Xenopus tropicalis: one gene and its partner. The protein of the gene in region 2 interacts with the protein of the main gene of each other region in a pairwise test. Links are inferred from orthologs where the notes say so. Each region holds a gene or a part of one and is shown on either strand. Other genes may lie near its edges.

Region 1 (4,095 bases), about 110 Mb from region 2:
AGACCAAAGAATTTTCCTGTGAAATAAAATGCTGCACTGCCTCCTATTAAAACAAGTTACAATGACAACTGTTACAGCATTCAATAATTATATAAAAGCAATATTTTATTAATCACAGAAACATTGCTGCTAATTATGCAAACACTTCTGAGGCTGCTGCTGCAGAGGGGGGGGGCTCCTTTGCTTTCATGTATCTGTAACCTTATTATGAACTAAGGGGCGCTCTGGCCAAGTTAGATCTCATGCATGAACTAAGAAACTCAAACAACCACTGTCCAGTGAGTGAAGAAAGAACATGTAACTGATCTATTACAGCATCTTGCCATATAAAAGTAAATAAACCACAAATGACCCTTCTCTGGCTTCTGAATAACAGCATTCATCTCTATAACATTTTACTATTAGTGACACAGACAATAACAAATAGAAGCTTCCATGTTAATGCTGGCAGTAAACAAGCTGTTTCACCACAGATACAAATAATAATAGTAATTTCAATTCACAGTACAAGGAATGCAAGTCTTCTATCAGGCACATCACTCTCAAAGAAACACATTACTTATCCACAACCCCATAGCCAATATAAATATTCAATTGACAGGAACCTGTTACCACTGAAACGAAACCCCCAACACAACACGTTCTGAAGAAACTATAAGTATTGGCACCAGGGGATTAGAGATACTTGACGCACCGCGACATAATAACAACTACATTGTACGATCTTTAAATGCTACACGTTTTCTGTGTTTGATCCGCAGGAACTATAGTTCCCTTCTCGCCACTTCATTAACCTGCTCTAATGGCCCACATAATCTGCGTTTTGAAAATCACCACCAACACGCATACGGAATCAAACTAGCTGTATACCGCGTTAAAACCGAAACTAACACAATAAAATACGTAATTTACCCAACTCACCTCCATTTTCACGGCCTGAGACTCTTCTTCTTTTCAAGCACACTTCCCCGCCTCTACAAAGATGGCGAGACATCCGCTTCCGGTAAAAGCAGCGAAGCCATATTGGTACAGTAATGCTGCTACTCATTCCTCCTATAGTATAACAATAGGATGTGAGGCAGCCATAGAGACTATTCATTAGAATGCTACACGTATCGAATACAAAAGAGCGAACATCCGGCTTAGTAAAGAACGTCGCTACAAGCCGTACACCAGATAGAGAGTCTTTTCCGGAAGCAATAGAGATGAGACTGCGTGGCAAGAACGTCTCTCTGGGAGCTCTAGTTAGAGTAAGGCAGTTCAAAGGAAGCCTCCTCCCCGTAATCACCTGCCTTGGTGGCTCTGACGATTGCCATCATGTCGTATGCCTACCTCTTCAAGTATATCATTATTGGTGATACAGGTGCGTACGTATTTTAAATGATTTTATCTATCGGTTTACGAATATTGGGTGCTATTATTATGCTCTTGTAACCTTGATGCTTTTTAATTTTATTTTGTGTATTAAATATAAAATCATGCATATGCTAGCATAAAATGAGAATATTCCGAGTTTATGTACAATAATATATTATTTTTAAATAGCAGCTCTTGGTGTTCTGTTTTGCAGATGTTTTTCAAATTTGTATGCAATTACAGATTTGTGTATATGTATATATCTTTGTATTTATACAGGTAATGTTAGGAGCCACATCATTAAATATTATAGAGGCACATTGCAATTTGTGTATCACTTATAACAGTGATGGGTAGTTTTAAAGCTGAGTTGCCAGAGCCCCATATTTTCTCCATGAATAATCAGAAAGAGTGCACATATTTCATGTTAGTGATAATGCAATACAATGCATTTTATTACATTAAGAGCCGTATTTCCTACAGTTTAACTTTATAGAAACAGAGTAACACATGATAGGTTGGCTAAATAATAATTTAAAGGTGAACTCGAAAAAAAACTGTTTTTGTTTTGAATAAAGACAGAAAATGCAATGCAGCTTTTCAATAAACATAGAATACTTTTTTTGTATGGTTTTAAATAGTAGCTTATGAAAGCAGTATTATCCAACTCTTTCTGCCTTGCTGGCCTGATTGCAGAAGCCAGCTGATTAACACCCCTGGAGGGGAACTCACCTCTGCTACATGGTTGCAGGAATAAGAATCAGAGAACAGAAAAGGATAAACACATATTGCCTTCAGTAGTGATTTCACTGGTTTTGATGTTATTTGCAAATGTAATCTTTTAATCCATATAGGTTGAGGTAATGCTTGGAATTACAACTCCTTTCATTTTGTAAAAACAGTTTTGTGGATTTTCTCTTTAATCACTGTCTTTAGTTTTTATAAGTGGCAATGAAATTATTTTACGCTATGTGCATGTATAGTAGTATCTCCAGGTTCTCCTTAATCTGTGGTGTAGCAGACTAAGGCCTCCTTACTGTATAATAACCTAGTGCATGGTACTGCAGAAAAGTAAAAAAATGATGCTTTTAGCATATCTGATTTTTATATCTCTTTGCTATTCCCCCATATCTACCCTTATTACATATTTGCATGCAATCAAATAAGTACATAGATGAATGTGATAGCTGCAGTGATTTTCAAGTGTTTAGGAAATCTTCCACCCCTCCAAAAAATAAAAACAGTGCACAAAAGCCAAGGTAAATTTCAGACAAAGGGAGTGATGATGCTATTAAAAACCTGGTAAAGACTGAGGGAACCAGTGGCCTGAGATACAAGGAGAGATACAGATATTGTACCAGGGACTATAAGCCTCCATGATGGTTCTGTGAAATTAATTTTTTTTATAGGAAGAAAGTATGACATTTTAATTAAATAGGCTGTGCATAAGACAATAAAGGGGTTTGTAACGTGTGTTACTAAGGTGAAGTGCAATAAGCAGGGGCGTTAGTTTTGGTTGGTGGGCAAATGGGGTTGTTAGAAATGTTTTCCTAATCTAAAGTTGAGGAATATGGTTAGTAGGGAGAGAGTTAGGTGAAATACTAAACTGGAAAGTTTGATTTTCTGTGTGCTTATTAACCAGTCAGTTTTATAGTGGTGTATTGAACCTTCAGGCAGCTAGGTAAAAGCAGCAAGGCAAACAGGAACTCAATATCTGTGAGCTGGCCTCTCAGCTGGAGTAAATCCTTAGAAGGCCTCCTCAATGCAGCCATATTAGAAGTAACTGAAACAGCAGCTTCATGCAGCTATTAATTCTGAGAACAACCACAACTTCATGCCTGCCAGGTGATACACTGTAGCTGAAGACTAAAGAGGTTAATGTAATAGCAGGTACAATGTTTCCTGCAGGTATAGATGTTTGCTTTACAACAGCAGATGAGTGAATGCTACCTGCTAGCAGGTAATTAGAAGTGGAGAAAACTATAGTTCTAATCTATTACCACCCAAAGTAAAATAATAATAGTAATTTGTTTGCAGATATATTTATTTTGCTGAATGCCAGTTGGGTGGTAAATCCAAACTGGATACAGCTCAGTGTCACACTCTGTTAGGGCAGTGACCCACAGAGCTACTTTTAGCCAGCTATTTGGCGTGGCTACAATATAGGCAATACTGATAATTGTCTCTACGTGTGTTTTAGCAGAGAAAATTTTCAGTATTGTCTATGGCAGGGTATTTTCTGGTGATTTGTAGCTGTGACAAGTAGCTTTATGTCATAGCCTCTAAAATTACAGCCCCCAGAATAACATACCTTTCGCTCTGCATGCAGATTTATTTTGTTGCTCTATTACAAGCAGCTGAACTGTATCCCTTTACCGACTGCCTTGTCTTGCATAAAACTCTGCCCCCTTTCCCTTATTGAGCACTCCTTCTTTAGCAGATTATGCAGACCTATACTGGGCATGCTCACTGCGCCTGCTTCAGTTTAAATCAATAATGCATGCACAGTAGGCACCTCTTTGAGGTCATTTATTGTTTGATATGGAAGGAGGCATCATCTTTTCAGGGTATAGAACAATGTTTGCTTGCTAACTGTTTGTGTAATGTGTACATATATAAAATGTTATAATGCACGAAGTGCATTTCCTCTGGTTTCGACCCGTTGAGCACATATCGGTACAATACAATTTTGCTTTTTAATATAATCTGGTTCAGTGTTATAAATGTGTGCTGGTTATT
Region 2 (4,290 bases):
CATCCTCTTTTTTATTAGCTGTGGTACGTTTCACTGCCAGCCAGACCTTTCTGGGGACTGGCTGCATCCTTGTATAATTAAAGGAGATAGAACATTAGGCACTATGCCTGTGAAGTTTATTATTCTTCCAGGTCATGCTATAACTTGTAGTAATAAGTCAAGTTAACTAGACTTGCTGTCTAGTCATCCAACTAGCAGAATGCCAGTTGGATGACTAGCAAAACGACTTTGAGAAAAACACAGCAAGATTACTGCAAGATAAAAATTAGGCACCCCCATTGATTATAATCGCTTACCTTAGACCAGGGGTCCCCAAACTTTTTAATCTGTGAGCCATATTCAAATGTAAAATAAATTTGGAGAGCAACACAAACATGCATTCTTGGGGTGCCTTACAGTTCATCATTCAGTTGATAACAGTAAATGTCATAATTAAAATATCGTAAGTAAGTTATTACAATACAGTCCAGTTCTCACAGGTCACACAAAACAGTCTTTCTTCATTGAAAGCTGTTAAAATTAGCAGTGTAAAAGTTTGTGGTTGGTTCTAATCTAAGAGAATGCAATTAGGAAGAAGAAAAACATTTCCAGTTATGTCTTGTCTGCCACCTAACTGGCCTCAAAGGTTCAGTTCTGCTTTTCATTTGCAGCTACATTTCTGAGTTTACCAGTAATCTTTTCATCTGAGCATTCATTTTTCTTTTCAGATTTTTCTGAGTTTGTATTTTCAACAAGGAATGCAAAGCTAGGGTGGCAGAAGGGCTCATATACTATATGTTGACACTTCTTTCTGGCTGTTTAAAGTAGATAGTTAATTTAGCAATATAGAGTCAAATAAATATAAGTTGTAGTAAAAATGCATTCTGCCTAATCTTTTAATTAAAAAAAGTTTTCAAATTCAAAAAGGCAAATTGTATTTTACACACCCCCTGGAATGAGTATCATTAAAGAGTGATAATGAGAACCTCCATCTTCTAATTTACGATAGATGTACTTGTAGACAGGGAGTTCAGAGAGTTAAATGACAGTGAGAATCTCATTATATACCTTCTTTTTCTCTTGTTGTTGTAAAAGACTGGGATCAAGTATAAAATCAGTTTTCTATAATGTTTAGAAATAAGTTGAAGGACATTCTAGATAATAGGATGTATGAAAAAATTATTTAATGTTTAGGTAAGGACTTTGAAAAATGTGTAACACTAACTTTCTGTTTATTTTTTATTAAAACATATACTTTTTGATTGTCTTCAAAAAAGAGATTTTGTACTCACCGGAAAATCCTTTTCTCATAGGCCCGAACTGTTAGAAGTTAGGGGTTTTGTCTTGAATCACCTCTGGAGGCAGGACAGAGAATTGAAACTTGGTACTCCTGGTCCCTCCCACTGTATATAAGGCTCGTCTCCACCCTCATTCCTCAGTTCTGTTGGTAAGCTCGGTCGGTGGAGACAGTACAGATAGAAGGAAGGCTAAGAGACATAAGGTAGAAAGATAGCGAGAAAGAGGTCCCGGTGCCCATACTAAATCAGCCTGGGTGGGACTTACTGCACTGACAGTTCGGGCCTACTAAAAAAGGATTTTCCGGTGAGTACAAAATCTGCTTTTCTCTAGCAGCCCTCCTGTCAGTGCAGACATTAGGGGATGTCCCAAAGCTGTCCCTCTAGTTGGGTGGGTAAAACTTCAGTTTTATTGGCACTATGCCAAAACAGCCTGTAGGACTTTCCGACCAAACGTGGCCGGCTGTGAGGCATAAACATTTAACTTGTAGAACTTGATGAAGGTGTTTGGTGAAACCCAAGTGGCTGCTCGGCAGATCTGGTCTGCGGTTGCCATGTTCTGCAGTGCCAGTGTAGAGTGGGCTTTCACTGAGTATGGTCTGGGCATGTTTCTGCGATCATAAGCCATATTAATAGTCTCAACTAGCCAACGAGCTATAGTTCTTTTAGATACGGCTTTTCCTCTGTATGCCGTTGCATATGATATCAGGAGACTATCAGACTGTCTGTAGTCAGCCGATCTCTTTAGGTAAATGCGGATAGCCTGGACAACATCCAGCTTATGGAGTAGTTTTTCCTTCTCGTTGGATGGGCTCGGGCAGAAGGAAGGCAGTATGATGTCTTGGTTCATGTGGCGTTCGGTCACCACCTTTGGTAAAAATATTGGTGTGGTTCTAAGGACCGCCTTGTCGTGGTTCCCTGCAGGACAGTGCCGCCATCTCGGATACCCGTTTTGCTGATGTGATCGTTATTAAGAAAGTGACTTTAAATGAGAGCCACTTAAGCTCACACATCGACAGGGGTTCAAAGGGTGATTGTTGGAGTGCGGCTAGGACTAATGGTAAGCTCCATGTTGCAAGGGGTTCCCTTAGCGGGGGGTCGTACTCTGGTTACCCCTCTGATGAACTGTTGGACCATAGGATCTTCGGCCCACTTGAAGTGTGTCAGCGCTGTAATCGCCTAAGCTTGTGTTTTTAGAGTGCGTAAGCCCAATCCCTTTTGGAAGCCGTCCGTTAGAAATTCCACCACCTCAACTGTGGAGATATCTCTCCAAGGCGTGGCCCTTTTCCTGCACCAGGTTAAGAAAGTCCTCCAGACCCTATGGTATACCCTAGTGGTAGATTGCTTGCGGGCTTGTAAGAAGATGTCTATGGCGATCTGTGAAAATCCCTGTTGACGCCACCAATCGGTTTCAAGAGCCACGCAGTTAGGCGAAGCATCCTCAGGTTGGGATGTTTTATTGGCCCTTGAGTTTACAGATCGGGTAGTAGAGGTAATCTCCAAGGTGTGGCAATCGATAATTTGACAACAACTGTATACCATACTCTGTTCGGCCAGTCTGGGGCTATCAGTATTGTGACTGTGTTGGATTGCTTCAGTCTCCTGATTACTCTGGGTAAGATGGCTAGTGGTGGAAACGCGTATACCATGCTGAAGTTCCATGGTACCACCAGCACATCCACCAGCGCTGCTCCTGGGTCCCTTGTTCTGGCGCAATAGAGTGGAAGCTTTGCATTGTGTTTTGATGCCAACATATCTATCTCAGGGGTCCCCCACCTGTGAGTTAGTTATTGGAATACATCCTTGTTGAGGGACCATTCTCCCTGGTCGATGGTTGTTCTGCTCAGGTAGTCCGCTTCCCAATTCAGTACCCCTGGTATGTATACTGCTGAGATGTTCGGTACCATCTGTTCCGCCCAGGTCACTATTCTGGAGGCCTCCTGCATGGCTAGTTTGCTGTGAGTGCCCCCTTGTTTGTTGATATATGCTACTGCAGTTGCATTGTCAGGCTGTACTCGGATTGACCGAGATTGTAGAATTGTTGACCAGTTCTCCAGTTCTAGGGCAATTGCTCGAAGCTCTAACACGTTGATGGGTAAGTGACTCTCCTCCTTGGACCATGTCCCCTGGAGTCTAAGGTTTTTGTGTACTGCCCCCCAGCCCCTGAGGCTGGCGTTTGTGGTCACTACCTCTCAGGTGGTGTTTGCCCAGCTCCTTCCCTGTCGAAGATTGTCATCTCTCACCCACCAGAGAAGGCTGTCCTTGGTCGTCTGCGAGATAGGTATCTCCTGCTGTAGATCTTGGTGGTTCCTGTTCCAATGCTGCAGGAAATTTCACTGTAGAGGTCTGAGGTGAAATCTGGTGAAGGGTATGGCCTCCAGGGTTGATACCATGAGGCCCAGAAGGCGTAGGCAGTCCTCTGCCAAGTTCCTTTTCCTGACCCAGAAGGCCTGAGTTGTCGTGACTAATGTGTTCGATCTTGTCTTGGGGTAGGATTATTACCCTCTGTGCCCTGGAGTCGAAAATGAGGCCCAGGAATAGGATCGTCTGACTTGGCGTGAGGGAAGTTTTTCGGTGATTGATCAGCCAGCCGTGTTGTGTTAGAACCTGGAGACACAAGTTTGTGTCCTCAGTCGCTTGTTGATAAGGAAGGTGTTCCTTCCTTCTTTGCTCTCCCGTGTGCTGGGGGGGGAGGGGTGACACTTCAGGGACAGCTCTGCGTGTCCAGTGTCCCCAACACTGCACAGTAATCCGCACTTTGTGGGCAGCTCTGCGTACCCTAGTGCTTTAGAGATCCTCCTGTGGATCTTCTGAGTCCCCCTTGTAGTAAGCTGGTCTAGTCCTGGAATTGAATCCAGTAAGACAGCCGTGCCTTGTGATATCCTCTTTTTGATCGACAATAATAAAAAATAAAGAAAAAAGGAAGGAAAAGAAAAGAAAATAAAAATATGTGAATATAGAATCAGTCCTTCACCTCCGAGGCAGGACAAAGAACTGAGGAATGAGGGTGGAGACA

What was found.
Region 1: the proteins of fam114a1 (region 2) and rab2b interact in binary tests that used the Homo sapiens proteins (3 or more experiments, as listed by UniProt). The two-hybrid records come from large-scale screens. The link is inferred for Xenopus tropicalis from reciprocal best matches to the Homo sapiens genes FAM114A1 and RAB2B.

The regions. Positions count from the first base shown.
Region 1 is NC_030677.2:141,992,674-141,996,768, forward strand, and holds the start of rab2b (ras-related protein Rab-2B), read left to right. Parts: upstream 1-1,244; 5' UTR 1,245-1,317; coding exon 1,318-1,363; intron 1,364-4,095. Other genes in the region: tox4 (TOX high mobility group box family member 4), read right to left, coding at 695-702. UniProt on the Homo sapiens protein: The small GTPases Rab are key regulators of intracellular membrane trafficking, from the formation of transport vesicles to their fusion with membranes. Rabs cycle between active GTP-bound and inactive GDP-bound states.
Region 2 is NC_030677.2:35,807,811-35,812,100, forward strand, and holds the start of fam114a1 (protein NOXP20), read left to right. Parts: upstream 1-1,481; 5' UTR 1,482-1,581; intron 1,582-4,290. UniProt on the Homo sapiens protein: May play a role in neuronal cell development.